4 linked regions of the Caenorhabditis elegans genome follow. The protein of the gene in region 2 interacts with the protein of the main gene of each other region in a pairwise test. Each region holds a gene or a part of one and is shown on either strand. Other genes may lie near its edges.

Region 1 (6,201 bases), about 11 Mb from region 2:
TCACTATGACTGAGATCGTGACGAGACCCAAAATAGCGCGTGCCAGAATTTCGCGAAATTGTGATACCCACCAGAGATTTTTTTTTGTTGAAGAAATCGATTTTTTTTTGATGTGGAAATGTTTCGTGGCACACTCAATCTCGCCAGGAGCATAAGTTTTTCAAAAAATTTGGCGCGAAAAATTGTGTGCGCCTTTAAAAAAACTAGTAACCAATTTCCAAGTTTTCTTCGATTTTCCAAAATTTTCTCTGGATTTTAGGGAATTTTCGTGTATCACGGGAACACGAAATTCAATTTTTGCGTATTGCACAACACATTTGACGCGCAAAATGTCTCGTAGCGAAAACTACAGTAATTTTTTAAATGACTACTGTAGCGCTTGTGTCGATATACAGGCTCGGGTGGATTAAAATATTATTTTTTATCGATAAAATATTAAAATTAAGCTAAAAATGAGAAAATAATGCTGCGATTTCAAATATTAATTAATTTTAAAAAATCGAGCCCGTAAATCGACACAAGCGCTACAGTAGTCATTTAAGAAATTACTGTAGTTTTTGCTACGAAATATTTCGCGCGTCAAATATGTTGTGCAAGAAGAATTTTAAGAATTTTGTGTTCCCGTAATATTTCAGTGTAGTTTTTCAACAGAAAAAGATTTTTTAAGAAAAAAAAAAGAAAATGGGTTACTGTAATTCTTAAAGGCGCACACCTTTCTGTTCAAAAAATAAATTAAATGTCGCTCTGTACGAGACCCGGAATCGTAGTTTTAGTTGAAAAATTGCAATTTCAGCTTTAAAATAAATTTAAAAATATAAAAATAGGCTACTGTAATTCTTAAAAGCGCACACCGTTTTTGTTCAAAAATATATAAATATATATCGTTCTTTGCGAGACCTGGCAAATCGTAATTTTAGTTGAAAAATTGCAATTTCAGCTTCAAAATACCTTTTAAAAATCTAAAAATCATATTTTCGAGACCTATTTTTTTTTAATTTCCAAATACTCACAGCCTCGGTAACCACTGCACCGGCAACTAATACTAGAAAAATTGTAGTAGACTTTGCCATTTTTTTTTTCGGCAGAATTTGGTAAACTACAGTTCATATGCCTCCTCTTTTATACAACAACATCCGGTGAATTGACAGTGGAACCGGATTTCCATATGGAGTATAGGCGAAAGGAAGGTACGATTTCAAGGAAAAGAGTGGAGGGGAAGTACTTGAAGCTTGCATGCCATCCAAGGACGGCATATGGCCTTCATTAATCTCGTCTCGGAAGAGAAAACTTTGAAAAAGCGAGCTGAAGCTGAATTCAGTGGGAAAATTGCTTTGAAACGTCACAAAAAGTCACAAAATTGGGTCACAATGACCGAATATCATGATTAAAAAAAAAATCAAAAAAATGTTCTAGATTTTATATGATTTTTTGAAAATTAGAAAAATCTCAGTTTTCCCCCTAATTCCTATTTGAATTTCCGCCAATTGGATTTGTTCGATGGAGCGCGCTTGCATTATTTTAGTTAATTAATTTTTATTTATTCTCGTTATTTGACTGATTTCCTTCATTATTTGTGTATTTTTATCTAAAAAAAGAGAGAAAAATGCAAATCGTTCATTAAAAAATCACTGAAAATTGGTAAAACTTGTGTGAAAAATGCTAATTTCAGACTTGTTGTCGTCGGAACTCATAATTTTATAGTTTTACGCATTTTCAGTGATGTTTTAATGAACAATTTTCATTTATCTTGCATTTTTCTCTCTTTTTCCAATAAAAATACACAAGTAATAAAGGAAATCAGTCAAATAACGAGAATAAATAAGATTAAATTTTAAAAATAATGCAAGCGCGCCCCGTCGAACAAACTTAATTGGCGGTAATTCAAATAGTGAAAACTGAGATTTTTGGTGGCCCTATAAGAGCTCTTATAAGAGTATTTTAAAGCAATTTCCCCATTGACGATACTCCATCCTTAAACAAAAAAAGAAAGTAAAAGAATAATTATTAGAGAATTTATTGAATTTTACAGAACAAATACAAGTGAAGATTATTAACAATATCGATCAGATTTCATTTTCATCCGTCTGTCCAGCAGCAGCTCGTGTGCACTTCCGTCGGCCTGCGCTTTCTTAACTCCTTTCTTGTCCTTCACGTCAATCGCAATATGTCGGTTCTTGAGATCAACCTTCGAGTGCTGATACATCTTCACGTAGGCCGTCTCACACTCCCGAGCGTTTTTGCGGTCTTCCACAGATCTCCAATCGACTGGGCCTTCTTGTATAGCGTCTGTACGGATCTGGAAATTGAATTTAATCGGATTTTATCTATTTATATCTAAATTAGCACTTACATTAACCATTTCATTCTCCGTAGCGGTTCTACTAGCCACATAAATATGCCCCTCTTTATTTGGAACTGTAGAGAGGAAAAGTGGTGAGGAGACGGCTTGGAACGCGGTTTTTCCCTCCTGGAAAACCAACACGAATTGCTCGCGGGATCCAATAGCTTCAGCCATGGCAACCAATTGATATTCGCTGTCCACTCCAACATATCTTCCGAATCCTGTCTTCAAACTGATTTTACTATCGTCTGGAGTTTTGACGAGCGCGAAAATTTCCTCAGGATTCGGGCCTTCTCCCTCCGGATGTGGAAATCCAATTGTGAATTTTCCGTTGTCCATTGCAGCGACATAAGTTCGCGTTGAGCCGGCTCCACTGGCAACTTCGATGGCGACGTTGGTTCCTCCTTTCATATCGAATTCATCGGCAATTTTGCGCCAACCACCATTTTCGACGGTGTCTGGATCGATTTTCTCCTTGTCGTCTTTGTTCTTCTTCTTTTTCTCCTTTCCCACTTTGAATCTGCAACGAGTGAATTAATGGAGGATTTTATACACTTTAAACTTGAATATGTCACTTACAAATTCTTTTTTCCGGCTTTTAATTTCAATCCACCACCTTTTACAGCACTGTAGTCAGCGCCTGGCATTTTTTGAAGTTTTCTGCAATAAAAAACAAAATTTTCATCAATAAAACTGTAAATTTCATAACAAAACTCGAAGAAATCAATAAAAAAACGTTCGAAAAACGTTTGAAACAAAAAAATAATATTCGAATTCTTCTCCCCCTTCCCGTAAATCCTGCAGCTCTCTACCGTACTTTCGCCGTCTCTCAATTTCGCGGCGAGACCCATCACCACGGCAATCCTCCATTTGTGTCGCTGGGCCTAAATTTTTTCCGTTTTTTTGCTCGATTTTCGCCGTTTCTCTGCGAAATTTTTCCAAATTTCTGTTCAATTTAATCAAAATATTGTTCTGGACGCTTGTTCAGCATAGAAAGTGGAGATTCTGTTGTATTTTAAGCTTGGAAAACGAATTTATTATGAAATTTCATTTTTTTGCTAAATAATTTCTCTATTCTTGAATTTTTACAGCTTTTTAACGCAAAATATTCTTTCCTCTTTGTTCTAAATGGGTAGTTACACACATTATGCGGTCTATAACGTCTTTTGTCACCTTTGAAACTAGTCTCTAAAGAAAAATCAATAATTTTTGCCCCTACGCTCTCCTCCAAATGTTTCGCTCTCGCCGTCATTTTCTGACAATTTTACTCGGTTTCTTTTCAAATTATATAATTTCAGTCATGCAAATCTTCGTCAAGACTCTGACGGGTAAGACTATTACCCTCGAAGTCGAGGCTTCCGATACCATTGAGAATGTCAAGGCCAAGATCCAAGACAAGGAGGGAATCCCACCAGATCAGCAAAGATTGATCTTCGCCGGTACGTTATTATTCAGACCTGATATATTCTTGAATTAATTTCCGGGCAAAACACCCAATATAATTTTCTAATTTCAGGAAAGCAACTCGAGGATGGACGTACTCTCTCCGACTACAACATCCAAAAGGAGTCTACTCTCCACTTGGTGCTCCGTCTTCGTGGAGGTTAGTTTTTTTCTAATGTTCAGGCATTGAGAAATATTTCTAAATTCAGGAATCATCGAGCCATCTCTCCGTCAGCTCGCCCAGAAGTACAACTGCGACAAGCAGATCTGCAGAAAGTGCTATGCTCGTCTCCCACCACGTGCCAGCAACTGCAGAAAGAAGAAGTGCGGACACTCCAGCGAGCTCCGCATCAAGAAGAAGCTGAAGTAATCTTCACTCGTTCCAGTCCATGTGTTGGCAAATAAATCGTTAATTTTAATTGAATGTCGCTATTTGTGCAAAACGTAAATTTCGTAAATATTGGATTTTTGGAATGAGATTTGTACATGGTAACAAAGAATCATTATAAAATACAGATGCTCAAATCAATACTTCGGGGAGCTCTAGTAGCTACAAAGCCGGGTCCAGCCAGGCGCCAGTTCTCATTCACAGCACTTCTGCGGAGCGAGACCCAGCCCAAAGAGATAATTAATCTGGAACGGGTTCAAGTTAGAAAGATGAAGAAGAGACGCCCAGTTGCTTCATCGGTTGTTCCAAAATCCCTACGAGAACCTTCAGTCGTCGCCATGGCACTTTCAGAATCACTGAACCTCAATGAGGTCATCATGGATGCACAGCTCAATGGAATGTATAATATAACTGCAATCGACGAGGACGCGGATGACAGCTTGCACTTTGTCAAAAAACTGGAATATACCATCAATCCAGGCGAACTCAGTGAAATTTTCGTGTTTCGAGATGGAGTTGTCGTTTTTTGGAACGTTGATTCTAGTCAGCGATCGCATATTCTACGGGAGCTCGAACGATACGCAGATGCTCCATATGACTCGATGATTGTGATGGATGAGCAGGATAGAATGTTCTATAAATTTTCAGAGCAGTACGTTTTCTCTTGAAATCGTCAAATTTGCAAAAAAAAAACGGCGCCGCACAGAAATAGAGGCGGGCGTAATTTCGCAACCCTGTGGCACGGTTTTTACTTCTTTTTTTTTAAATTTGAGTTTTAGCCTCACAACCTTATGATAATCAAATTGGATAACATTTCATTCAAAAAAAGAAAGTAAGTAAAAACCGTGCCGCAGGGTTGCAAAATTACGCCCCGCCTCTTTTTCTGTGCGACACTGCTTTTTTGTTGCAAAATTCACTTTTTTTGTTCAAAAAAGAAAATTTAGATAATTTTCTCCAATAGAAGCTTCAAAATTAGGAAAAACTCGACAAAAATTCAAAAATTTACAATTTTTTATTAATATAAGCGAAATTTGCAAAACAAAACGGCGCCGCACAGATATAGAGGCGGGGCGTCATTTTGCAACCCTGCGGCATGGTTTTTCCTCTTTTTTTTTTGCAAAATTTGCAATTTTTAACTCAAAAAAAAAAGAAAAATAAAATGACATTTTCCAGCAGAAACTTTAAAATTAAGAAAAACTCAAAAGTATTAAAAAAGAAAATTATTATTTCCAGGTCTACAGGATCCACCATTCGTCAAGATCGTTTCTACCTCTCGGGAAAACATTTGGACGCCTTCCACGGCTCGAACGAAGCAATTTTAGAGCGATTTGCACTCAGTCAGGGATTCGCTGCTTCCGTGAAAATCGGAGTCTGGGAAAGTCTTCTAAACAATCTTGCGGAGCCACTCTCCAACACTACAAAATCGCTAACTCTGGGAAAGATTCCGTGGAGCCGGAAGCAGGCTCTCATGAGATCCGGAGAATTCGCAGCTCTTCGACACTCGATTAATCTTGATTGTACCCTGTTGAATAAGGATTTCTATTGGGAACGACCTGAATTGGAGAAATATTATACGATGACGGGACGCCATTTCTCACTAGACAGACGGATAGGGTTAGGAATCTGAAAAAATCGCGAAAAAAATTCAAATTAAAAAGAGTGTGCGCCTTTAAAAAATTTTGTTTTTTTTTTAAAATATATTCCAAAAAAGGCGCACACTGAATTCGATAGAAGTTTTTTTGCTAAAAACATGAAAAAAAATCGAAAAATTTATGAGTTTTTCGATACATATCAGAATTTTTTGGTTTTTTTTACGTAAAAATCGAAAAATCTAGAGCCAGAACATGATTCACAGAAATTTCGGATTTTTGTAATCCGATTTTACGAAAAACTGCGATATTTAGAGAAAAAAATCGATTAATCTGAAAATTAGCTTTAAATTTTTAAATTTTCTTCATTTTTCGAAAAAAAAATGATCGAATTTTTTAAATATAGCTTCAAAAGTTTGATTTCTTTTATTTTTTAGAAA
Region 2 (7,808 bases):
GTGTTTCTCACCAATTTTCACCCCTAGAAGTTGTGTTTTTTTTTTGCGCAAGATAATTTGGTGGCCTAACTTTTGGGATTTCTAGGCCACCAATATGACAATGATGGTTTCAAGCCGTTTTTATCCTTTTTTTTAGAAGTTTTATTTGAAATAATGACAATAAAAACGATTTTAACTTGAAAATCGTGAAGTTTTCAGTTTAAATTCCTAGAATCCCCTAAAAATCTATGTTTTTTCCGTATAAACCAAATTCTATTCAGTTTTTGGATTTGATATCAATTGGTGGTTGAACTCTTTGGATTTCTAGGCCACCAATTATCTGAACTTTTTTCCCCTGTGACTCTTGTGCCTCTATTCGTATTGATTGCAGTAAAAACGGGTATTTATTCACATTTTCAGCCTTAAATCAGCTGAAAATGTGAATAAATACCGTATTTCTGCCAACAATTTGACAATAGAGCACATTTGTCACTCGGAGATGCGGAAGCTATGCCCAAATTTTCATTTTTCCCGAAAAACTTGTAATTTTTTACGGTTTTTCATTAATTTTTTTTTAATTTTTGAGGCTTTTTTTTGGCGAAGAGTCGCTTTTTAATCGAATTTTGAATATAAAAACTGAATTCTATGTGGTTTTTGGATTTAAAATCATTCGGTGGCCGAACTCTTTGGATTTCTAGGCCACAAAATTTTTGAACTATTTTCCCCTGTGACTTATGTGCCTCTACTCGTTTTTTTTTGTTTGCACTAAAAACTGTATTTATTCACATTTTCATCCTCAAATTGGGCTGAAAATGTGAATAAATACCGTATTTCTGCCAACAATTTGACAATAGAGCACATTTGTCACTCGGAGATGCGGAAGCTATGCCCAAATTTTCACTTTTCACCCGAAAACTTGTGAATTTTCACGAAAATTGAAATTTTTTGATGTTCCAAGTAGATTTTCGGATGAATTTTCGCAATTTTAGCTTTAAAATGCCAAAAATTTGGAATTCTTTAAGAAAAAAATATTTTAAAGTGCCGATTTACGCCGTAAATCGACACTACAATATTATCAATAATGTGCTGCGTGCGCATAAAACAAATACACTTAATCTGTGTATATTGCTGCGTCTTTGACCCCTCTTTTCCTTCGATAAAAATGGTAAAAATATCGATTTTTCGGTTTTTTCCTTGTTTTTTATGGAAAATTTGAATTTTTAAAGAAAAAATTGGTAAAAAACGCTGAAAATTCACTGGAAAAATGTGTTTTTAGCGAAAAAAAATGCCTCGAAATATAAATTTTTAATTTTTAATCTGAAAATTCCCGTGAAAAATGGGAAAATTTTCGAATTTTTCATGTTTTTTCGACTAAAAAGTCGAAAATTTTGTGAAATTTCTCGAAAAAATTGAAGTTTTCTCAATTTTCCAGCTTTTCCCCCTCAAAATGCTCCAATTTTCAGGATATTTTCATATATATTTTTTTTTTTTTTTTTTTTTTTTTTAAATTGTGAAAAACGTTGAAAAGTTCACTTTGGAAAAAGAAAAATATGGAAAAATTCAAATTTTCCACTAAAAATTGACATTATTTGCGGAAATTACCAGCTTTTCGGCGTAAAAAACGCTAAATTTGTCAGTTTTCCGCAAAAAATGCTCGAAAATCCAAAATTTTGTGAAATTTCTCTCAAAAAACGCGTGAAAAACGCTATTCAAAAAAGTGCAATTTTCAGCTTTTTTTTACTAATTTTTTCTTTAAAAAATTCAAATTTTTGACTGGATTTCTTCAAATTCTCCATTAAAAACGGGTTTTTACTCAGAAAAGAGGGGAAAAACCAGGAAAATTGAAAAATTTTCATATTTTTCGACTGAAAAATGCAAAATTTTGTGAAATTTCTCTCAAAAAACGAGTGAAAAACGGCAAAATTTACAAATTTTTCTAAAAAAAAATCGGAAAAACGCGAAATTTTCATGTTTTTTTTCGGCTAAAAATTAAAATTTCCATTTTTTTTTTTGCAGGGTCGGTGTGTGATTTGTGGTGGCGCTGGCGTCAGTGATGCATATTATTGCAAAGAATGCACAATTCTCGAAAAGGATCGTGACGGATGCCCGAAAATTGTGAATTTGGGAAGTGCGAAGACGGATTTGTTCTACGAACGAAAGAAATTCGGATCGAAAAAGTCGTAGAAATTGGCTTTTTGGCGGCGAAAATGAGCGAAAAATCACAAAATTTCGCCGAATTTTCACCTATATCACCTCTAATTTATCAAAAATGTTCCAATTTTCTGTTAATTTCCACTTTTTTCCGCTGAAAATTCCTATTTTTCTTGAAATCTGACTGAAATTTGGCTAAAAATGAGCTGGAAATATCGAAATTTGGCTGAAATCGTAAAATTCCCTTTTTGTTCCCTGAAAATTGAGCAAAAATGTCAAAATTTTGGCATTTTTGACCAAATTTTGCCTATTTTTGTGAAAATTTGCCTTTTTTTTTCGTTGTTTTTATCGAAATTTTGCTGAAATCGCGATTTTTTCCACTATTTTTCCCTAAAACATCCCTTTTTTACTGGAAATTTGGGCAACATTTTGGCATTTTTGCCTATTTTTGTGAAAATGTTACCATTTTATTGAAAAATTAGCTTAAAATGACAATATTTTCCTAAAAATTTCGAATTTCCGTGAAAAATAGCCAAAATGTCACTTATTTCAGTTAAAAATATGCCATTTCCCTGAAATTTGGCTGAAAATTCGCCTATTTTCACTTAAAATTCCGCAAAAAGCCCTTTTTTTCACTCAAAATGTTCAATTTTTCCCTGAAATTTGCCTGAAAAATCGATATTTTCACTCATTTTCACCTTAAAAATTGTCTTTTTCCCCCATTTTTTCCAATTTTCCTCTACCCTTTTATCAATTTTCGAATAAATTATCGATTTTTCTGTAATTTTTCCCTTTTTTTGCTGTGTTGTGCTGGTTTTGTTACCTATTTGTGTATATTTATCTCTATTTTTTACGGGAATTTTCAGTTTTCCCCGAATTTTTCTGAATTAAAATCACTAAAAATCGATTTTTCTTCCTGAAAATTGGGTAATTTTGCGAGAAATTTAATTTTTGTTTAAAAAAAAACTAAAATCTGAATATTTTTTGGAGAAAATTAACCAAAAACTTGAAATTTTATGAAAAAAAAATGGAAAAATTTCAGATAAATGCGTCGACAAGGCAGCGAAGAAGTTGAAGCTGTACAGCAATTTTTAAATGCTTTCGGGTTTCATGATAGAGGTAATTGGATTGAATTTTAGAAGAAAAAACACCGAAAAAGCCGAAAAATTGACTGAAAAATCGAATTTCTGACGAAAAAATGAGATTTTCCATAAAATATCAATAATTTCAAGTAAATATTCGAATTTCGAGGGGTACGGTAGCACCAAAAGTACGCAAACACTGTGGTACACCAAATCTTACGACATTTTGCAGAAAAACTCCTGAAATTATAATAAGAGTTCAGATTTTTTTCATCAAAAGAATATATTGGTGGCCGAACTCCTTGGATTTTTTTAGGCCACGATTTTCTGAGCCAAAAATTTTATTTTGAATTTTTCGTTCAAATCTCGTTTTTTACTAGAGAAACTCCAATTTCGGCTTTTTTTCTCTTGGTTGCCTAACTTTTTTTTTAGATTTCTAGGCCACCCATTAAAAATAGACCGTTTTATTTGATTTTCTACATAAAAACGGGGATTTTGAATTTTGAATAATTCAAATTTTAAAACCAAAATTTTAATTTTAAGTCTTTTTTTTTTTTGAGATATTTGAAATTTTCTAGACGGTTTTTTGGTGATGAATCGGTTTTTATTAGAATTTCAACTATAAAAACCGAATTCTAGTCAGTTTTTGGATTTAAAATCAATTGGTGGCCGAACTTGTTGGATTTCTAGGCTACCAAACTTCTGAACATTTTCCCCTGTGACTCTTGTGCCTCTATTCGTATTGATTGCAGTAAAAACGGGTATTTATTCACATTTTTAGCCTTAAATTGGCTTAAAATGTGAATAAATACCGTATTTCTGCAAACAATTTGACAATAGAGCACATTTGTCACTTGGAGATGCGGAAGCTATGCCCAAATTTTCATTTTCAAGCCGAAAAACTTGTGAATTTTCGCGATTTTTGCACAAAAAAAACCATTTTCAGCCGATTTTTCCGTAGAAAAACGGATTTTTAATCAAAATTTTGCAATTTTCTGTATTTCAGATGTGATAAAAGTTCAAGAAGGGCTATTCCACAGCCGTCAGCTCAACGATGTGAACGCTTCGAGAACATGTGTAGATCAATTTGTTAAGAAATGTATGAAATTCCAGGGAAAAAACCAAAAAAAAAAGCGGCAGTTTTCCAGGCGAACTTCGTGATCCGAACGGAATAAAACCGCTTCGCAAAAAAATCGATGCTCTGATGAACGAATCGGTAGAAATGAATTATATGATGGATTTTCTTGTGAGATGTCGACAGGCTCACTTATTTCATAATGAAACAATAAGAAATAGTCCGAGTATTGGTCTGGGATCCATTGGAGGTACCCCGACCAATTCGATTCCATCCTCATCGCCGTTTCAAAGAAGATCTGCAAGTCGTGGACGGGTGCTCAGCACGCTGAGTTCGGTGTTTTACCGGTTTTAGCCGCGAAAAATTGTGAAAAAACGGAGCAAATATCACTGAAAAGTCGATAATTTATTTGAAAATTGACATTTATTTTCATTAAAAATTCGAAAAATTAGACATTTTCGGTCAAATTTGACCTGAATTTTATAAAAATATTTTTTTTCTCCTTAAAAGTTGAAGATTGTGCTTATTTTTGTTCGATTTTCGAGAAAAAATGCTGAAATAAAACCTACAAAAATGTGGAAAATTGAAAAAAAAAAGTTTTTTTTTTCATTAATTTTCAATAGAAAAAAAAACGAAATTTTTGCCATGATTAAGTGGCCGAACTTTTTGGATTTCTAGGCCACCAGTCGGAAAACTCGGATTTTTAGAAATTTTTTATTAAATTTCTAATTCTCAAGCAACAATTATTGCGTTTTTTTTCATTAATTTTTTTTTAATTTTTGAGGCTTTTTTTTGGCGAAGAGTCGCTTTTTAATCGAATTTTGAATATAAAAACTGAATTCTATGTGGTTTTTGGATTTAAAATCATTCGGTGGCCGAACTCTTTGGATTTCTAGGCCACAAAATTTTTGAACTATTTTCCCCTGTGACTTATGTGCCTCTACTCGTTTTTTTTTGTTTGCACTAAAAACTGTATTTATTCACATTTTCATCCTCAAATTGGGCTGAAAATGTGAATAAATACCGTATTTCTGCCAACAATTTGACAATAGAGCACATTTGTCACTCGGAGATGCGGAAGCTATGCCCAAATTTTCATTTTTCACCCGATTTTTAGCATATTTTTGGGGTTTTGATGGATTTTAAGTGTTGAAATCGGTTTCAGCTAAGAAATTTTCGGTGACCGATCTTTATGGAATTCTAGGCCACCAAGCTGATTTTGAGCCAAAAAGCTATGCTCAAATTTTTATTTTCGCAATAAGATTTGCAATTTTCCATAGAATCATTCCACAAAAATCAAATTTTGAGCAAATCCCCAAACACTGTGGCCTAACTTTTTGCAAGTTTTTAGGCCACCCATTAGAACTTTGGCGTTTTTTCTCGAATTTTCTACAAATTTCTATGTAAAAATGTATTGAAATTGAGAAAAACTACAAATTCAAGCCTATTTTCGCTTTAAAAATCATGAAAAATCATTTTTTTTTAATTGGAAATTCACAGAAAATTGGCGAATTTTTCCATAAAACTAGTGAATTTTCCAGCCGGAGACCAACAAACTCCATCAATTGCCGATTCATCGTCTCGTTCTCGTGCCAATTCCTCATTTACTGCCTATGACAATCGAATGCTTGGAATGGAACGCCAATTGGCTGGAAATATGGCTCAACGGCCACGGAGTCCGTATACAATTAATGGAATACCAACTACGAGGGTTCAGCCGATTAGCGCCAGCAATCAGCTTTTTACGTGCGTAATTTTCGAGAAAATTTGAGGAAATTTGGTTGAAAATACCGAATTCACCGCTAATTTTCACCCCTAGCACACTTTTTCCGGGTTACTGTAGCTTTAAAAGTACGCCAACACCAGATCTAACGACATTTTTCAGAAAATCGCGAAAAAATGAGTTTTTGTGATTAAAAATGGCTCAAATTTTCAAGTTTTTTGAAAAAAATCACTTCAATCTCGGTTCTCCCCCAGTTTTTACCCCAAAAATTCATTTCTTTGACGTTTTCTGCAAAATGTCGTAAGATTTGGTGTATTGCGGTGTTTGCGTACTTTTGACGCTACAGTAACCCTGAAAAATAAGTTTTCCCATTTTTAGATCAGAATCAGCCGAATTTTTCGAAGAAAACGAGTAGGTTCATGGGATTTCCTTAACAAAATGTGTGCTTTTCCCCACTAAAAAACCTCAAAAATCACCCATTTTTTCAGTTTTCTAACCTGTTTTCCCTGTTAAAAATCAGTTAACCTTCAGTTTCTACTATTCTACTAATTTTTTTAAGCGAAAAATCAAAAAAAAAAACGGGTTTTTCATCAAAAAATATATGAAAAATCACTTTTAAAAAAATGTTTAGCGCTTTTTTCATAAATTTTTAAATAGAAAAGTGAAATTCTGTTCTGTCTGGCTGTTTTTTGAGACAATTAATTAATTAATGGCCGAAATTTTTGAATTTCTAGGCCACCGTGCGAATATTTTTAATTTTTCGTTTGAATTCTGAATATTTGAACGAAAATGGGAAAATTTATGGAAAATCAAAACAAAAAATGTGAAAAAAAAATTTTGGCCGTTTTCTTTTAATCTTATGAAAAAAATTTCCCAAAAATTTGCAAAAAATAAGGAGAAAAAGACGAAAATGAATTGGTGGCCGAACTCTTTGGATTTCTAGGTTATCTGTTAAAAATTGAAAAAAAACGGTTTTTTGAGCAAAATTTCCCCGTTTTTTGTGCCAGAAATGTTCAGATTTTCATACAAAATTTGAATTTCTTATTAAAAAAATTGGCATTATCGAAAATTTTGGATTTTTTGAAATAAAACAAATTTTCATGTGTAGATTTACGCCGTAAATCGACACTATAATTTTCTAAAAAGGTAAAAATTCACAGGAAATTCGATTTTCATACTGAAAATTGCTGAAAATTCCTAGAAAGTTGAAAAAAAAACTGAAATATTTGTTCTTCGGCTCCAAAATTGAAATTTCAGTGACTTATGTGCTTCTACTCTGATTGATTGCAGTAAAAACGGGTATTTATTCACATTTTCAGTCATAAATTGGGCTGAAAATGTGAATAAATACCGTATTTCTGCCAACAATTTGACAATAGAGCACATTTGTCACTCGGAGACGCGGAAGCTATGCCCAAATTTTCATTGTTCAGCCAAAAACTTGAAATTTTCACAGTTTTTGAACGGTTTTCAGTGTTGAAATCGGATTCTCCACTACTTTTTACCCCCAACCTGCACAATTTGCTTTTAAAAAAGTGAAAAAATGTTGGTGGCCGAACTTTTTGGATTTCTAGGCCACCAAGCTGATTTTGAGCTATTTCCTACGGTTTTTTTGCTGCTTTTTCTATAGAAATTTTGGCTCAAAAATAGGTAAATTGAATTTTTTTTTGTTGCGAATTTTGAAAATCAGCCGGTTTTGCTCCGAAAAATGAGCAATTTTCTCTGAAAAATCTCGAAATTTTCAATTTTTCAGTGCTTCCAATGGCTTCACACCTCCAAATCCACATCTCCGAACAAC
Region 3 (7,809 bases), 5.8 Mb from region 2:
CGATTTTCCACTAACATCTACAGTTTGAACTTTATCTTCAAATTCGAGGGGTTTCGGAATGAGGGAACTGAGGGGAACCGGTCTAATTGAGAGATTTCAGAGAATGTTGCATTTCATGTTGAATGACGCTTCTTCTTCTTCCCCTTTTTGAATGAATAACAACTGTTGTCCAAGAAAACGCCGACGGACGACGCAATTGATGGATCGAAGGAGGGTGAATCCGTGTCGCCGCGGAAGACGGTTTGCCATTAGAATTGTCTCCTCTTTTTCTCTCCTCATCATTTTCCATGCATCACCCCCAGCTTTTCGCAACAACGTCTATGTTACCCGTTTCAGATATGACAAGACATAGAGAAAGAGAGAGGAGGGTAAGGTTCTACAGACAGAAATAATTAGAAAACGTTTCACTGAGTCATTAGAAAAGTATACCCGTAATCATTGTTTTGTCACGTCATGACAGTAATATGTGTAATTCGAAGTTTCGTTTTGTTCCTCATCCAAGTTCAATAAAGCAATTTCACAGACAAACTGTAATTTCCATACTGCGTGATTTCAAAGTTTGATATCCAATTTTTACGACTTTGTGAAACTCGTACTTAACGGCGCACGGATTCATTTGGATGGGTCTCGCCACGAAGAAAAGGTTATGGTACCAATTTCTGAGTTTCGCATCGAAACTAGAGATTTCGTGGCGAGACCTATCTGAATATTTATCTGTGCGACTATTACTTAAAGAGTGACTTTAAAGTAGATCTCGGTGAAAAATAACTCTATTTTATTTTACGAGAAAAGCCGAGTTATTTTCTAATTGACAACTCCTATTTTTGGTTGTATTTTGCCAATCAAAAGTTTTAAAGAAACTGCAGGCTACCCAAGCTGATCTGTTATAAATCTTACGCTTGAACTAAACTCTACAAACTCTTCAAAAGCAATGCTCGTTCTCACACTACTCCCTTCCCTCTATGTCTCTCGCTCCTTGGCATGTATTTTTCATGTAGGCCTTTACCAGCACGTTGAGTCGCCGCTTCCGTAGCGCAGTAGGCAGCGCGTCAGTCTCATAATCTGAAGGTCGTGAGTTCGAGCCTCACCGGGAGCAAGTGCTTTTTTGCCCAATCGGAATATGCTATGTTATCTAGATGAGTTTTTGGTTTCACTTTTTCTTGCTTCTCCAATTTTAAGCTAAACCGAGACCGAACACCGAATGTGTAACTCTTTTGACTATTTTATAAGTGAAGCTGGTATCATTTCGATGCATCAGTTTGCAAGTACATACCCATTGCTATGTACATAATAAGATTTACTGGTTACTGACTTGACAGTCATGTCTTCTTTTTGTCGTCGCTTTCTTCTAAGCGCGAATAACAACTCCCTTTGTGTCTACATGTTTGTTTTATTAAATTAATACGAATTTTATTATTGGAAGAAAACTACTCCCCACATAATTTTTACATCTAATAAAATTTTAAAATAATCTTTAACTACCCAATAAAACACCAACAGAAATTTTATTACGACAGTTTTCTTCCAGACTTGTCTTAATTTAGACTAACAAAAAGTTTTCAGAGTTTTGTTTTGAAGTCCGATAACTTTTAGTTACTTTGAGAATAGATTCTTCAATCTTTGCTCATATATTTCAGAAATAATACCCTGATGGTAACCAAGTGATCACATTGACCGGACACTACGATTTCGAAACAAAGCATGATAAGCAGCTAGCTTTCTTGTCTTCTTGTATAACCTGATATATTCATTTCTCGAATCATTCTTCTCTTTTTTCTTCTATTGTTAACCTTTTGTCTACGTCTCATCATCTCTACATATTTTCATTGTTCTCTATTGGATCTCTTTCTAAAAAGTGTCCAAAAAAACTGACTTGGCGGTCACTTTTTGGCGCAAGTACCTGTTTGGTCTCAGTTGTTGTGAAAGTACTTTACAAAATCATTTCAAAATTAAAATTGATCTTCACTTATGCGAGTTTACCTTAAAACTTTTGGAATCATTTCTAAATACACTAGAAAATTTGTTGTGAACATGCAAAAAACCATGAAAAAGGAGGAGTCTATTTGGACGTTTACCTAACTATAAGTTCCGTCATTTTTTATTTTCTTATCAGTGCTCGTTGCTTTTAAGAACTTATATAAAGGTAATACCGTTGAAAAACATCTGCACAATCTTCTCGATTATGTAATTTTCTAAAAAATAAACACCGTTCATATCTTGGTCTTTTCATGTTTTGAAATGTTTTTTGATCTAAGTTTATTTATTTAATTGTTTTAAGATGGATTTAAAATTGACAAATTACATTTCCGGCATTATTCTGCTTCAAACTGTCTTCCACAACAAAAATTACAAAAATTTCATTAACGAAGTTTCATAATTTTTCTCAGAGAATGTTTCTTCTGAAAAGAGCATGCTTACTTTCTTTCAACTTACTTTCAAGGTTCAGTGATCATGCCAATTAATTCAATTTAATTAATTTAAACGATCACTTCAATTAGCTATCCATTATCTTTTTCTTATCTTCCGCACTTTTAACAGAAAAAGTCTAAAAGAAGTCTCTCTCTATCTCACCTGTTTCTCATCAGTTGTTGTTTCATTCAATGTCCATTCCACGGGGAAAACATTAAGTTCTTGTGGTTTTCAAGGTTAGATATTTTTGCTTGAGGATTGTCAAGCTATTTACTCGATAATATGGAATTTTACGTTTTGTATTTAGCCGTTCAGTTATGACCTTTGAAAAGACGGTCTACCTAATGCCAAATAATATTTAGAACTATTAAAAGTGGAGTGCAGGCTTGAACCCCTAGAATGTCTAAATACAAATAATTACAACACAACACAATAGTAGGGGACATATGTTTTTAACCCCATTTTCAGTATTAATTATGCCTCGCCATTTTTTAAACACAAGATTTTCAAAAAAAAAATTAAAATTATTTGGTCATTATGAATGCTTTCAATAATTTCTCCCACTGGCGACACTCCGCCTATTAGAGTGAAATTCGCTAATACTTTTTCCAATCACTGTTTGCAATTCTCCATCGAATTCTTGAAAATCGTCACGGTCTAAAAATGAAGTTTTTTCTATTCAATTCTCCCTTATTCGTGTCACTGTATTCGTTCAACTTTTGTTCAAAAAACGAACACATTTCATTTAAAGATGGCAGTTGTTGCGTCGACATCAGATGATTTCTATGCAAACTACGCATTCGAATCGGCAGATCGAAAAGATGAAAACTCAATTCGGGTAAGTGAATCTTTGAAGAAAGGTCTCATGAATTGAGGGATAAGAAATATAATTATAGGTACCTCGAAGTACAGAAGACAACCGTAGGCTCAAGTATGGACATGCAGAAGATGATAATTCAGATATTGCGTATTTGAATTTTCCAGTTATTGTACCATCACTTGTATTTACAGTTATCTCAATGGGATGTTTTGTGGGTAAGATATTATAAATAAGAATCTCTGAGAAATTTCGTTTAGAACTTTAGGTTATACCTAACAAAAGAAACTAAATCTACGAAAAATGCGAAGCAAACAATAGCTTGGGTTACTGTACCCCTTATAGGCACACACTCTTTTCGCAGGCTTAAATGAAAAGGTTTTGATCGTATCGAAACCGAATAACGTACTTTTGCAGTTTAACCATGGGAATAATTGCACAGAGAATTTGCAAAACTACAATATAAATCTTTAAAATCTTCGAGTTTTGTTGAAATATTTACATGCAACAACTTTTTGAAAAAGAAACAAAAAGACAAAATGCTAGCTGTTTATTTTCAGGAGGAATTTTCACATCCCTAAAATCCGACTACATCCCTGATGAACGAGAATTAATACGAGGATACGTTATAGAATATGGCAGCAGTCGTTTTCGATGTAACGTGAGTCTCCCCTTTCCCCCTACTTTGACTCTCACCCCTTCAACACCCGTGACAAGTGTACGCTCTCGACCGCTGTTACTCTCGAAGCACGGATGGCCGAGTGGTCTAAGGCGCCAGACTCAAGCGTACATTGCTTGCCTCAAGTTCGAGGTTAACTGGGTGTTCTGGTACTCGTATGGGTGCGTGGGTTCGAATCCCACTTCGTGCAGATATTTTTGAAAATTTTCAATTAATTGTTTTCAGACAACAATTCCATTTCCAGCAGATGGGCTTCCATCAATTCTTAATCTTTTTGAATTGAACGTGATAGGAAATGTCCTTTTCCGATATGCAGTCTGTATACCAATAGTAATTAGAGTATTCAATGCACTTACAATAAGGTAATTGGAAAATTAAAGTATTTTTCAAACTCAACGCCTTTTTCAGAAATCTTCTCCGTCATGAGTACGACAAAAAGTTCTCATCATTACATAAGGTTATGGCGGATTCAATGCCAATTTTCACTTTTGTTGAAGCTTTCATGATGTCCCTATTCAGTATTGTTACTGTACATGAGGATTTTCCAGGTAAAATCTGATGCTAAAAAATCCATTTTGTAGTAAATGTTCTATCAGAATAACGATGTTTTTTAAAGGAAATAAAACTTTTTTGAATCGAGAAAAATTAGCAAATAATGGTACTGTATTTGAAAAGTTCCACTCGTTACAGGACCCTTAACCTAAATATCGTTTAATTTCAGAAGCGAATCGTTTCTTTAAAATTGTATTTGCAATGTCATCCGTTGTTAGTATGCTGACCACCACTACGGTTATGTTTGCATTTTCGTCGAATTCTGAAAGTGTGAGTTTTTGATTACAAGACAATTTTCATTTTTATTTGGCATTTGGAAGTCAGAAATCTGATTCAAAAATTTAAAAGGATTACAAAAGGAAAGCTAAATTTTGACGTTTTAATTTGAAATTCACATTTTATCATCCACAAAAACAAAAATAAAGGTCTCACCACGAAATTTTTTCGCATCGTATCCGTACAAAAGTTATGCGTCTCTAAGTACTACAGTAATAAATACACTTTATGACGTCACAAATGTATTAAATTACATGTTTTGGTGGCTTGAATAAAATCTCCAATCTACACTACACTATATACTAAATACACTAATAATCTACACTTTTTTAAACTTTCGAACACTACTAAAATAACCCCATAAAAATTAATATTAATTCAAACTTTCAAATTAAATTTTTCAGAAATGGGATACTGTATCAATGATCATGAAATTAATATCAGTTGTTATTTATGTATATTTAATGCCACAATATATGCAATATCATCAATCTTCTATCACATTTCCAATTTGTCATTCATATAGTAAGTTTTCTTTCTGTCTTATTTTTAATTGAATCAAATTAATTTCAGTGCCCCAACTGTTCGCTTTAATGGAATATTTCATTATTATTGCATATGCAACGTTTCATCTGTCATTCCTAATCGATATTAGAAACATTTCATTCATTTGTTTCCCACGATCGTCCAGTGGAGAGTGTGAACCGATTGATCCAATTAATTTCAAAAAAGGAGCAAAATATGAACACTGCAGAGCTTTTGAATATAATCAACGAAGGATTCTTAGCTTGTAGATTGATGAATTAGTTACAATTATGTTTATTTAATTTTGAATACAGTTTTTTGTTGAATGAGAAAAAAAGAAACAAAAGAATCACCGATTAAACAACCAAATATTTAAAAATAATTTCACAAAAAGCAATTGAAACAGTCAAGACAAAAAAGAATTGAATGAAATCACGCAAACACATATGATATTCAAGAGAAGGAGAGACAGTTGGAGAAACAAGAAAATTGATACTCGTAACTATTTACACGTGCCACTCAACCCAATTGAGAATGGAACACAAATAATACGGTACTTTGTACGCTACAGTAACCCTAGTTTAATGTAAATTATTGAAGGGTATTTGTTAAAAAGGGAAAGCATTGAAGGGAGGAATTTAAATGGATTAAGTGAAAGAAAGAGATTAAGTAAAGAAATAGGAGCAATGAAATGGTATAAGGAAATTTGAATATTGAGGTAGGAAACATCTATTCATCATCCGATAAGTCTTCATAAACAAGATTTTTGCATGGTGGACCGTAATCTTTGATTGGTTGAATCCCGTTTTGAGCTTGAACAACTAAGGGATATTTGACTGGAATCTTCTTGGTAACTGCCACGTGACCGGTTGCCCGTAAATCGATAACTGATCGGAAAGCTGTTTTATCTGGAAAAATTATGATATTTTTTTTGACAAAATTCGTGGGAATAAAAGCTTACCGCCTGGAAGAGGAGGCAATCTGTTGGCTGGCAACTTCTCAGGATTTCGAACATCGTCATCATCTGAAGACACATCTGACACATTTGAGTTGACTGATGATGGTTTACCAGGAATAATAGGCATAACAGGATGATGTACAGCTTGTGGAGTCGGAGGTGCTGTCTGTACACCTACTGAGGGAGATGGCATCGCATGTGGTGTGGAAATTGGAGTTGGTGCAGCAATTGAAGCTGCTGCTGGCGGTTGCAGAAACTGTGGAGCTGATGCGGACGATGAAACTGTAGACGTTGTCGCTTTGTTCAAAAAATGAGAAAACGTTGTTGGGATCGGCCGGACAATTTCCGCATTGGGACGCTGTAAGAAAAGATTCATAGAATTCATTTCAATTTTAAAGATACATACCAAAAGATGGAATTTCTCGTAATGATCAGGCCTGGCTTGCTGCTGCTGTTGCAATTGTTGTGCCGCCTGCAGTTGAGCTTGTTGTTGAGATTTCTGATGAGCACTATGAATTTGATATTGTTGTAGTGCGAGCTTCTCCGCCGCGGAAAGATTTGCATATTGCTGTGGATTCTGTTGCAATTGTTGTAGGAATGCATCTAGTTCTCGTGATGGTTGAAGTACAGAAGTCGATTGGAGCATTCTCTGACAACGTTCCTCGTCTCTCTTGACAACGTCGTTAAAAATATCAAGATACGAAAACTTGGCAGACGGATTCGCGGCGGCAGCAGCTTCGCTACTCGAAATCAATTTAGTCACAATCCGATCAGATGGCGGCGCCTTCGCCTCTTCATACATCATCATTGAAAGACACTCCATAGCTTCATCTTCTGTTTTCACTGGTGGAATGCTCGATCTTCGCTGGTGAGCAGGAACACTTAAAATGCTCTTCATTCGTTGTCCAGAAAGAGTTCTAGGTCCTTCTGTCGGTTGAAGACGTTTTATAGATGCTGGCGTCTTGGGTGGTCCTTGATATACACATTCAATTTCATCTGAATTATTTGTGTTTGCAGGTGACACTGCATTCGAATTCATTGCAGAAGCTTTTGTTTGAAGAAGCTGCGGATGAGTTGGCTTGAAAACTTCATTCATCCTCTCAGCAAGTTCCTAAAAAATCAAATTGTTTAGTTGCAAAATTGAAATGAAACCAATGAAGGCTTCCGATTTTGAGAATGGAAGAACGGCCGTTAAACCTCTAACAATGCCATGTGTCGATTTACGCAGTAATGTGTACTCTCGGAGGTGAAGGAAAAGAGAAGATAGTTAGAAAATTGCTGATTTTTTCTAAAATGCTTCATTTTTGCTTATTATTTTTATATTATACATTCAAATCGGCAATCTTATTTCACAATTGGTTTTTTACAAAAAGCTGTTTTTCAAAATACTGTTTTGTCAGTTTTAAATCATTGGAGTTTCGTTCTGATTTTCGAAAAAAAAAACTAATATACTCGAAAAAATCGCGAAGCATTTTAGTATGCCAAAAGAGAGAAGAATAGAATAAACAATTGCCATCATGTGAATCATTCGCGTTCTGACACATTTTCATTTCAGACAAAAAGACAAACCGTTCTAAGATCAGCGAAAATTGA
Region 4 (10,131 bases), 3.8 Mb from region 2:
CATCAAACATTAGTGTTCTTACGTTGTAAGTTTCCTGAAACTGTGTTTAAAAACTGTTAATCATTTCATTTTTTAGACTGAGAGTTCTATATCTCGGAGGTAATCGACTCCGTGAAATTCCTGCATCCATTGGTTGCCTAGATGAATTGGAAAACCTTGGTCTTTGTGATAATATTCTAGAGACAATTCCATCAACATTAGGAGATTTGCACTATTTGGAGACTTTGTCCTTGCATAACAACAGATTGCGAACTCTGCCCACTGATATTTTAAATCTGCGACGTCTGCAGCAATTATCTCTCCGTAACAATCCTCTGGTTCATTCATTCGTTCATAATATGGATCTTGCACCTCCATCATTGAAAGAATTATCAGGAAGAACTGTTCGACAGAACTATCACAAAGTACCGAATCTGGACGAAATTTTGCCATCGTAAGTCTTATCAAATCTTTAATTTTATTTTATGTTGGGGACATTCTAGTGATTCAAAATTGTATCAAATTGAACCCTGACGTGACCTTGTTTCTGATCAGAGTACGATATTTTTGAATCAAATTGTTTATCGAATGCCTTACAATAACCCTTTTCAGTGATCTCGTAGCTTATCTAGGATCCGCTTGTCAATGTGTCAACCCTGAATGTCAAGGAGTCTACTTCGATGCTCGAGTTGAGCATATAAAATTTGTGGATTTCTGCGGAAAGTATCGAGTTCCACTTATGCAGTTCCTGTGCTCACCACGTTGCTCCGCCGGAGTTCCATCAGTCGACTACGATACTTCGTCTGAATCAGAAGAGGAGATTGAGCCAATCATGAGAAGAGTCTTGCTTGGTTGAATTTCGTGTTAATGTATTTTAATTCAAACTTAGAATCTCAGTTGTGATCTCGTTATATTGACATTTTCATGTTTTTTTTTCATACGCCGAGGAATTATATGAACTGTTTTTTGGGTACACTTTCCAACTATAGTTAGAGACGATTAAAAAGACTAAACCAAATCGATTTGTACTAAAACCCGAAGAAGATTAACAAAGGGAGGTCATGACATGGATATTCAATGTGATTTATCGACTCATTCGAAACAATGCAAACTTTGACATTAATTTTTATATTTTCTGTGATTTTGACTGTATTCCATGTGGAATGTGCAACAAGAGCACCAAAACTTTCGAAACACACAAAGGTGAGCATTTATTTTCTGGAAAGGAATGAAAGTTGCTATCTTTTTTTCTTGAAACGCGAAACTTTGGTTGCAAAAATGTTTTTCTCAAATTTTTTTAGTTGTGCAAAATTAATAGCCTTTGGGGTACGGTTACTACATAAGTTCCCTGTTTTTGGTTTTTTTTTTGCTCAAAGTAAAAAAAAACATTTAATTTGTGGAATTTAGACAATGTATCATTTATCAAATTTGATTTTCGAACGATGATCTCTGCAAAAGTCCTAAATATCATCTTCTCTAACACCTTGCAATTCTTGTTAACCGGTTTACAAGTCTCAATTTGCAAACACAAAATTTAATATAGTTTTAAGGCCTAATCTCTGAATTTTCTGTGTCACAAGGGGGTATTCCCCAGGTTTTTTTTCAGAAAATGTTCATTGTCCCACCACAACTGATGATATCAAATTATAGAAAACAGTCAACAAGTTGGTCAACTGTCTGACTCCCGTGGACACCGTTTTGGCCGCCAAGACAGCCGATTGTGAAGACAGTATCTGTGTGTCAAGTGCTAAACAATATGCACAGAGACGATATCCAACACAGTATCATAGTACAGTAGTCCCATGTCTCTCATCAACAACTACATTGGCTCCTGTCACTGAGAAAATGGAGAAAACCAAGAAAAATGGAACTAAGAACAGGAAAATGAAGGTGGAAGGCGTTGTCAACCAAGAATAATTGGAATTGAAGAAATAAATAAATTTTCAGTCTTTTTAAATTATAATTTAGCTCACCTTGACACTTCCGGTAGCTTTCAAATTTGAAAGGTTTCGCTTTGTAAGCACATTGAGCAGCGTAGTTTTTCCAGCTCCACTGGGTCCAATGATCGCGGTAACCTCTCCGGGTCGAGCCACTCCGAACACTGAAAGTTATTATAATTTCGTTTCCGATAGTATCAAATTTACCACTATCTAAAATCCGTTTTTCCACTGACATCTTCTCTACATCACCGACTTTGATCGGGCAACATTTTCCAAAAAGTCCACTATTTGAAGAGTAGTCTTCTGAAGAGTCCTGAAAATTCTAAATATTGTTCACAACAAAATTTTTTATTATATACCGAAACTGAAATATCGTGCCATGTCAGCAGCATTTTTGGTCGAAGCTCTTCCATAAACTGTAAAAATTAAAAATTAATTGAAAACTATGCAAAAATAAAAAATCACGGATTTATCAGCTTTATCAATATCAGAAGTTGAATCCACTACACTCATTGACTCGATTGAACCTTGAATAACATTTGATTTGAGCATTTTTGCTGAAAAAGGTGAAAAATGAGTATAAATTGATTAAACCGAAGGCGGCGGTAATAAAATTCAAAGAAGCGCGAAAAATAAATCATTGACCCCGCAAACACCGGTACGCAAACTTGCACACACAGTTCACCGTACTTGACGACAAATTATCAGAAGAAATGGGTGAATCACCGACGACGGTGAAAATTTTAATCGGACAGAAAAACCGATAGGGAGTTTTCAATATCGAATAAAAATCATGTGCATCTCACACAAAAATTCATAAACGCAAAGACAAACAAACAGAATCGATTCGACTCGTCATCAACAAGAGCTCACTTGCGGAGCTCTGTGCACCACGGTCGATGACGATTGTCGGAAATGATAAGTGACATTCTTATCATCCAACACAACAGAAGGGCTCATTGTGTTGAAAAAATCAACGACGATGGACGACAGTCAAGAGTCGAGTTTTTCGGTTTCCAAATATGAAACGTAAGTCGAATAGAGTACGGTATTCGGAAAATCTGAAATTTAAATTTTTAGAAATGATGATGGATCTATGGGCCAATTCATTTCAATAAATGTAAGTTAAACTTCCATTAACAGTTTTTCAAAAGTCTGAGAAGGTAGATCAATATAATTCATTAGAGCGCATTTGCTCGCCTTGGATCAAAAACTTGGAAATCTATAATAATAATTTGAAGGAATGTGAACGGGAAATTCAAATGTTAGAACGTGACATTCGTCAACAGAAAGAGTCCAGTGCAAATGCGAAAACAGCGATAACATTCGATCAACTTCGGAAAATTCATACGTACGTTCCGGGCCGTCCGATCAGTTTTCCCGTCGGCCTCAATAGCTCACACAGGTAAAGCGCCAAGTGTGAAAAATGGCTGAATAGTGGGTGAAGGGGCGCTGGCGGGTGAACGATGGGGGAAAAATGGGCGAAGGACCGCAAAAAGACGAAGCAATGGGTGAATAAATTGACCAATCCGAAAATCAAAAAAGAAGTAAAAAAGGAGCATAGCAAAGTATTTCCGAAGTATTCATGCATAACTAGTATACGTGTTTATGGAAGTGTTTATTGTTAACAATGTTACAATCAATTGATTGTTGTAATGTTCACTTCATTTCCGAACATCTACTATTAGAGTCATCTGTTGTTGAATAATGTGAAAAACATTTTGTTACTTTTTTAAGGGTTATATTTATAGAAAAAATACCAATTTGTTATTTCCCACAAGTTTGGACATTCATATTACATTCTCAGTCGAACAATCACCTATATAAGAGTTGATTGAGCATATAGACGTCTTACTTTAAAAGACTCATAACTCTGTTGGCATTTGAATTAATAAAATGTGGCCAACTGAAAAGTTGTTGACAATAATGTGAAAAACATTTTGTTAGTTGGTAACTTTTTGTTATCTTTAGTGACTGCGGAGATGTGGGCTTCAAAAGATAACCAAAATATTCTAGATTTGTACTTAAATATATCTCAGTTCTCGATAAAGATGAAGAGATACTTACAACTATCAATATGTTTATTGTTTTAAACTTAACAACGTTGTAGTTGATAACTTTTTGATATCTTGCCTCTAGAATTAGATACATCCATTTTAATACAGGAGGTTTTAATTTTCAGAGCTCCAAGGAATGTCGGTTTGACTTATCGAAAGCACCGAACTTAGCAAAAAAACTTATAGAAACAAACAATTCAACATATTTCTACAATACCTGATAAAAATTTGATAATTTTTGAAAAAAAATTTTTTTTGATTTTTGAAAAAAAAATCCAAAGGGTCCCCCCTTACAAAATTTTTCAAAATTTTTTTTTTGGAAACTTTTTATAATATGATTAGATGTTATAGAAAAATCCAATGTTTGTAATTATTTCTAGTTTGTATGTTCTGAACACGATTTCGGACGAAAACCTGAGGTGTAGTAGAACAACTAAGTTCAAAAAACGCGTTCACTTTGGATGCGTATATCTCCGTGGAAAAATTTTTGATGGCAAAGTGATCAACTACAAAGTTGTTTATCTTAATCTGAAGTACAACTTTGTAGTTTATTGTTTCTTGTCAAAAAAATTGTTGGTCGAGATAAAGTTGTGTTCATTTTGGCAACTTCATGCTTGAATTTTCTTCTTCTTTTTCTATTCCTGTCTCAATCAACAATTTTTTTGACAAGAAACAATAAACTACAAAGTTGTACTTCAGATTAAGATGAACAACTTTGTAGTTGATCACTTTGCCATCAAAAATTTTTCCACGGAGATATACGCATCCAAAGTGAACGCGTTTTTTGAACTTAGTTGTTCTACTACACCTCAGGTCTTCTTCCGAAATCGTGTTCAGAACATACAAACTAGAAATAATTACAAACATTGCATTTTTCTATAGCATCTAATCATATTATAAAAAGTTTCCAAAAACTTTTTTTTTCAACAATTTTTTTTCAACAATTTTCATCATAAGGGGGGACCCTTATGATCAAAGTAATGATTTATCAAATTGGATGAAGAGGGTCATATTTAGAATTTTTATCGAAATTTCATTCGAAACTCTTAAAGTTGAAACGGAAATATCTTACTTAGTACTATTCGATCTATTTTTCAGCGTTTCAATGCGTTTTTTAACACCAATAAATCATTTCAATTCAACGCTTACTCTCATTATGAGTTTCATAGCAACGACACTCCGAAATAACCCTAGCGCGCCCTCTTTAGCGAAAATTTTATTCAATTTTTTTTTGCTTTTTTTGCAATTTTTCTCGTTTTTTTTCACGATTACCGCTAATTTTGCGTGATTTTGTGAGCAACATATTTTTCTTTTTCACATTTTTATAATTTGCAGATAAAAATCGAGAAAATCAACGAAAAGGATCCTTCAAAACGACGGAATAGGAAAAAGATGCCAAAAATCAGGTATTTTCAGAAATATTGAGAAACTCTGCGTCTATTCTTCTGTTAACTAATTATAATTGGTTTCTTATTCGAAAAATATAAATTTTTGTCACGAAAAAAAGCGAGAAATAATCTTCGAATTCAGATATTTCGTCCCGACGCAACTTCGCCGGCTTCGACGAGGAATCCTGCAGCGAGGGACACGATTATGAGCTGTTAAAGTGAGTTTTAAAGTTTTAAAATGTATTCTCCCGAAAGAAAAATCGTCAAACTAACTCTAAAGCATGATAATTTTTACAGGAGTGTCGCCGGCACCGACTCCGAACGAGAAAAGCTCCGACGACCGCAAACGAGAGCCGAAGGAATCTGGAAAGCGAAGGTAATATTTTATTTTCAAATATCGATACTTGTTTCTAACGAGCGAAAATGTATAATGTAATGTAATAATGATTAATCTTCTTTATTAAACTTCTTTAAAATTAATCATTTGAATTTTTCAGAAAATGGATCGATAAAATCGCTTACTGGAGGAAGACAAAAGGAAGAAAAGCGGAAACGAGTCAATTGCCGATGACACCAGAGGACGATTCATCGAAATCATCAAAAGATGAAATAAATTATTTTGTTTTTTTTTCGATTTAAAATAAACGATAATACTATAATATACTCGTTTTATGAATATTATTCTTCACTGAAAAGCAAAAGGAGGGGAATGGAAACGATAGCCTTCACCCATCGCTCACCCATCGCTCACCCATTAGCGAGCCGCTAACATGCGAACGGCGGCCCACCGGTGTGCGCGCTGTTCGTGTGTCGGCGGTTCCCCCCTCGCCTATATGCGGTCCCCCCTCGCCTATATGCGGTCCCCCCTCGCCTATATGCGGTCCACCGGTGGGCCGCCGCTCGCACTTGGCGCTTTACCTGTGCAGTTGGGAGAGCGTACGACTGAAGATCGTAAGGTCACCAGTTCGATCCTGGTTTGGGGCAATCTATTTTTACTTTTTTGGTATTCTTATATAAACTTGGTAATTTTAAGACTCTCTACATTGCTTGGACCACACAAAGAGCTATTCTTTGATAGGATATGTCGGGCAGCCGATATACAAAGGGCATCTTTGAAAAATCGTTTGAAATCAAATATAAATGTAGGATATTTTTTAAATTCAATTTTCCAATATTTTTGACTAATAGTAAGATTGCAATTTTCCAGAAATTCGAGCCCAGCACACCTCTGTCGTTTCAACCGGGATTCGATTCTCAGAGCTCTCTTTCAACGACTTCAGAGAGCCAAAATTTTGTGGTGACCCCAACAACTCTTAGCAGTTTATTGAACAATCACACAGTAAGTTTTTATGAGATTGTCGTAGTAGGTAGGCCCGTGCCCATATTATCATAACAAGTCTACCTGACCTACCTGACTATTACACATTTTCTGCATTTTGAGGCCACTTTAGATGATAACTTTAGATGTAGATGTAAACCTTTAGATGTAAACCAACTGAGATAATAACAAATAAGTAGGTCTTGTAGTGTAGCAGTAGGTAGGCACAAGGAAGGTATTATATGCCTACGTCGATGTTATACTGGTTTAATTATCAAATCTTTTAATTTTCAATAAATAATTTAAGCGGAAGAATCACATTGAAATGCTGGCTCCACTAGCGTCCGAAGAGGAGTTGATGAGATTTCCTGCGGAACGACAGTTTGATCTAATGCAAATTGGATTTAGTTACGATGAAGTGAAGCAGTTGCTGGAAATGTTTGAAAAATTCAAGAATGACGTTCAAGAGATTAACAGGCTTCATACATTGACACAGGTGAGGAATAACGGTTACTGCAGAGAAACGAGAGTGTATGTATTCTTTGGATTTGGTTGAAGGCACCTAATTCAGATTCTCTGGATTAATTGTTCCTAAAAAATATTTTTGAGATCCTGAATCAATTTTGCAACTACATCTCAATGTACGCACCACCCAATCTGAAAATGATATCATCGGCGTTCAATTTGCTAGAACTTGGAAACTCAGCTCATGAAGTGAAAAGGGTTTTACTGAAAGCGGTAATCTAAATATTCCATCAAAAAATATAACTAAATGAAATTTTTATAGCGTCGTCGTGAAGAATCAGAAGAATCAGATGTTTCATTTTCCAAAAAGCCACGTCCTTCTTCTAGATCTCCTGCATCTCCAAATCGAGATGATCTATTGTTGGGACTCGATCGTTCTCCGCCCAGCGATGATGGAACTCAGAAAGTTTGAAATTGAAATTGATGAATATGAAACACACTTTTATTATATTTAAGCACTTACCTCGGTTTTGGATGATTTCAAACGTTTTTCTACTGATGCTCCACTTTTAATTCAGTTCTCAATTTCTACAGATTTATTATTATTATTATATCAATATTAAGCAAACCAGTAAGCTCGAAATACAACATGCAGAGGACGGATGAATTCTGACCATTTTACAATTAAAAAGCGAAACATATGAAAAGAATATAGTGCACAATTAAAAAAAGAAGTGAAAGAGACCTAAAGCCGAGTACAGTACTTTTTTGTTGATATACGCCTAGTGACTTCATCAATACTGACAAATGATCGAGTGGGGAATCTAATTAAACAACAAGTTTAGAGCTTCGTAGCCATTATGAACATGACACCTTCTCCGTCCAAAACGTATTTCTTTGCATTGGCAACATCAAGACCAACAGATACAAGAGCATCAAGAATCATCTGTTCACTGAGATTGAGGAGATGGAAGATTGTCTGTAAATTTTGATTTTTTTTGTTGGCATATACATACGAGTATTTTGGCTACGAATTTTAATGCAGGTCTATTTATACAGTTGGGTCTCGCCGCGCGAAAAAACAATCATATGTTTTTTTTTTAAATTTTGTACAAAGTTTGGAAATATGCTAAGAGCGGGTAAAAGTAAGAGGAAGTAAAAAGAAAAACAAGAAACATCCTCGAGAAAACGGTTTATCGGTTTTTCCTTTAATTTTAAGTACAGTAACATGTTAGTCTTGCGGCCCCACTGCTCCGTTTTCGAAGTTAATGTATCGCTTAAACGTCTAATATTTCAGAAAAAAAAAATACTAGCACTGTTTCAAAAAGATATGTTCTATCACAAGTCTGAATTTGTATCCTTCAATCCTCATTCCCATCGCCTAAAACCAATAAAACTTCTCTAGCTATCATATATACCTGCATCATTGACGCAATCACACAAACTGACCCCGTTAAAATCGCAAGAGCACAGATCAAATTACCAGATCAATTGGCCCTTTCCTACCTTTCTTCCCGAGTTGTACTCATCGTCCTCGAGCACCGAACCAAGCACAAAACGACCGCCGGAACGGAGATGTCTCATCTGGAATCACACAAAATCAAAACACATTTTGATTTCACTTTTTCTCATTTCAAACTATCAAATCTGGTGCCATTCAGTCGTTGGCTCATTCTCATTTCTTTTTTTTCCGAAAAACGACACACTTTACATCTTGGAAAAGATGAAAGACATCTGTTTCTAAACTCTTTTTTTTTTCATTTTCTTCGTTGGCACCGTGAAAATTGGATATAAGATAGACAGAGAAATAGAGAACGGGTGTAAAGGGGAAGTGAACACTGATTGTGAAGAGATATAGGAATATGAAAAGAAAGTTATGACGAAGTTGTTACTGGAGAATAAAATAGATCGAATTACACTTACAATAACTCTTTGAGCTAGTAGTTTACTGTAGTTTACAATTTTATTGTTCTCTATTCGAAAGAAATTCGTGTTTTGAACTTAGAAATGGAGAAAAAGAAATGTGAACCAAGATCTATCTTCAGTACTGGGATTTCAGAAACTATTTTAGAAGAGACGTGTAAAATAACCTTAATGGCATAATCAAGCTCCTAAAACGAACGATATGCTTAAGCCTAAGCCTAAACCGCAAAAATCCATTTAGACTTACCATATTAGTGACACATTTACAATACTCTTCATAGTTGCGACAAGCACTTTCTAACGTGAAGATCGACACCAGGATATCCACCTTCTTCCCAGCCAATTCAGGGACCACATCCATCTGGTGAACATCTGCGAAATGAATTCCACCAGACTTGACCAATCCGCGGGCTTTTTCTTCAACATCAATGCATACTTGATCTGTTGGAGTGGGACCTCCTTCCGTTCGGTTGATCACTTTGATAGTTGGCACCCAGTCAATAGTCTCCTCGTGGCGGATCCATTTTCTCAGAACGTCAAGGTTCCGATCGACAAAATCTGATAAGTGAACACGCTTTGCCACATCACGGAAACAAAGAGCCGAATAGACGGTTGGTCCTGCTCCAATATCCAGAAGAGTTTCACGTTCAGAAGGTCGCATAGTTTGGAGCATAAGTTGGGCGAAGACAGGAAGTGCGAATAGGGAAACACGGGTTCCATCTTCAATAGCATCTCTGGAAATGAGAAATGAAATTTTGGATATATATGGAATGTCTGATGTTTATACTCTCTCCCTTGGATTGTTCGTTCCTTGTCAGACAGGTACTTGACTTGATAGCACCCAAAAATGTGTCGTCTCATTTTCAAAAGTTTAGAGTCTAAGAGCCAATGATGCCTCCCTCCTCTTTTCTCAGTTTTTTCGATCTCTTGACACAAAAGATCCTCTCCTACTCAAAAAGAGAAAAAGGTAACCGATCTGCGACCGATTTCGTGTGCAGCAGCAACAGGAGCAAAGCCAAAGCAAGCCGGGGATAAGAGGTTTTGTTTGTGAACAAACCACT

The links.
Region 1: the proteins of gip-1 (region 2) and frg-1 interact in a two-hybrid assay, tested with the Caenorhabditis elegans proteins (one large-scale study listed by BioGRID).
Region 3: the proteins of gip-1 (region 2) and C14B9.3 interact in a two-hybrid assay, tested with the Caenorhabditis elegans proteins (one large-scale study listed by BioGRID).
Region 4: the proteins of gip-1 (region 2) and rotr-1 interact in a two-hybrid assay, tested with the Caenorhabditis elegans proteins (one large-scale study listed by BioGRID).

What each region holds. Positions count from the first base shown.
Region 1 is NC_003281.10:12,975,962-12,982,162, reverse strand, and holds frg-1 (Protein FRG1 homolog), read right to left. Parts: upstream 3,002-6,201; 5' UTR 2,989-3,001; coding exon 2,921-2,988; intron 2,862-2,920; coding exon 2,351-2,861; intron 2,297-2,350; coding exon 2,051-2,296; 3' UTR 2,000-2,050; downstream 1-1,999. Other genes in the region: dbd-14 (DB domain-containing protein), read right to left, coding at 1,011-1,070; ubq-2 (Ubiquitin), read left to right, coding at 3,642-3,780, 3,858-3,944, 3,994-4,154; ZK1010.2 (DUF155 domain-containing protein), read left to right, coding at 4,301-4,824, 5,406-5,786. UniProt on the Caenorhabditis elegans protein: Binds to mRNA in a sequence-independent manner. May play a role in regulation of pre-mRNA splicing or in the assembly of rRNA into ribosomal subunits. May be involved in mRNA transport.
Region 2 is NC_003281.10:2,344,419-2,352,226, forward strand, and holds the start of gip-1 (Gamma tubulin complex component protein N-terminal domain-containing protein), read left to right. Parts: upstream 1-3,172; 5' UTR 3,173-3,176; coding exon 3,177-3,249; intron 3,250-4,218; coding exon 4,219-4,311; intron 4,312-4,360; coding exon 4,361-4,618; intron 4,619-5,828; coding exon 5,829-6,033; intron 6,034-7,763; coding exon 7,764-7,808. Other genes in the region: phf-5 (PHD finger-like domain-containing protein 5A), read left to right, coding at 1,996-2,163.
Region 3 is NC_003281.10:8,105,630-8,113,438, forward strand, and holds C14B9.3 (uncharacterized protein), read left to right. Parts: upstream 1-3,160; coding exon 3,161-3,247; intron 3,248-3,305; coding exon 3,306-3,444; intron 3,445-3,786; coding exon 3,787-3,887; intron 3,888-3,962; exon of another isoform or gene 3,963-4,105; intron 4,106-4,130; coding exon 4,131-4,267; intron 4,268-4,313; coding exon 4,314-4,453; intron 4,454-4,626; coding exon 4,627-4,727; intron 4,728-5,137; coding exon 5,138-5,258; intron 5,259-5,306; coding exon 5,307-5,527; 3' UTR 5,528-5,584; downstream 5,585-7,809. Other genes in the region: gei-8 (Nuclear receptor corepressor 1), read right to left, coding at 5,988-6,166, 6,220-6,574, 6,623-7,327.
Region 4 is NC_003281.10:6,147,115-6,157,245, forward strand, and holds rotr-1 (Nbl1_Borealin_N domain-containing protein), read left to right. Parts: upstream 1-2,846; 5' UTR 2,847-2,901; coding exon 2,902-2,948; intron 2,949-2,999; coding exon 3,000-3,039; intron 3,040-3,160; coding exon 3,161-3,270; intron 3,271-6,287; exon of another isoform or gene 6,288-6,367; intron 6,368-6,397; coding exon 6,398-6,506; intron 6,507-6,571; coding exon 6,572-6,703; intron 6,704-6,989; coding exon 6,990-7,178; intron 7,179-7,291; coding exon 7,292-7,420; intron 7,421-7,469; coding exon 7,470-7,619; 3' UTR 7,620-7,826; downstream 7,827-10,131. Other genes in the region: wht-7 (ABC transporter domain-containing protein), read right to left, coding at 1,953-2,080, 2,124-2,232, 2,279-2,335, 2,385-2,471; Y42G9A.3 (Leucine-rich repeat and WD repeat-containing protein 1 LRR domain-containing protein), read left to right, coding at 1-25, 77-433, 592-835; Y42G9A.2 (uncharacterized protein), read left to right, coding at 1,084-1,182, 1,630-1,896; anmt-2 (Nicotinamide N-methyltransferase), read right to left, coding at 7,989-8,126, 8,654-8,731, 9,318-9,804.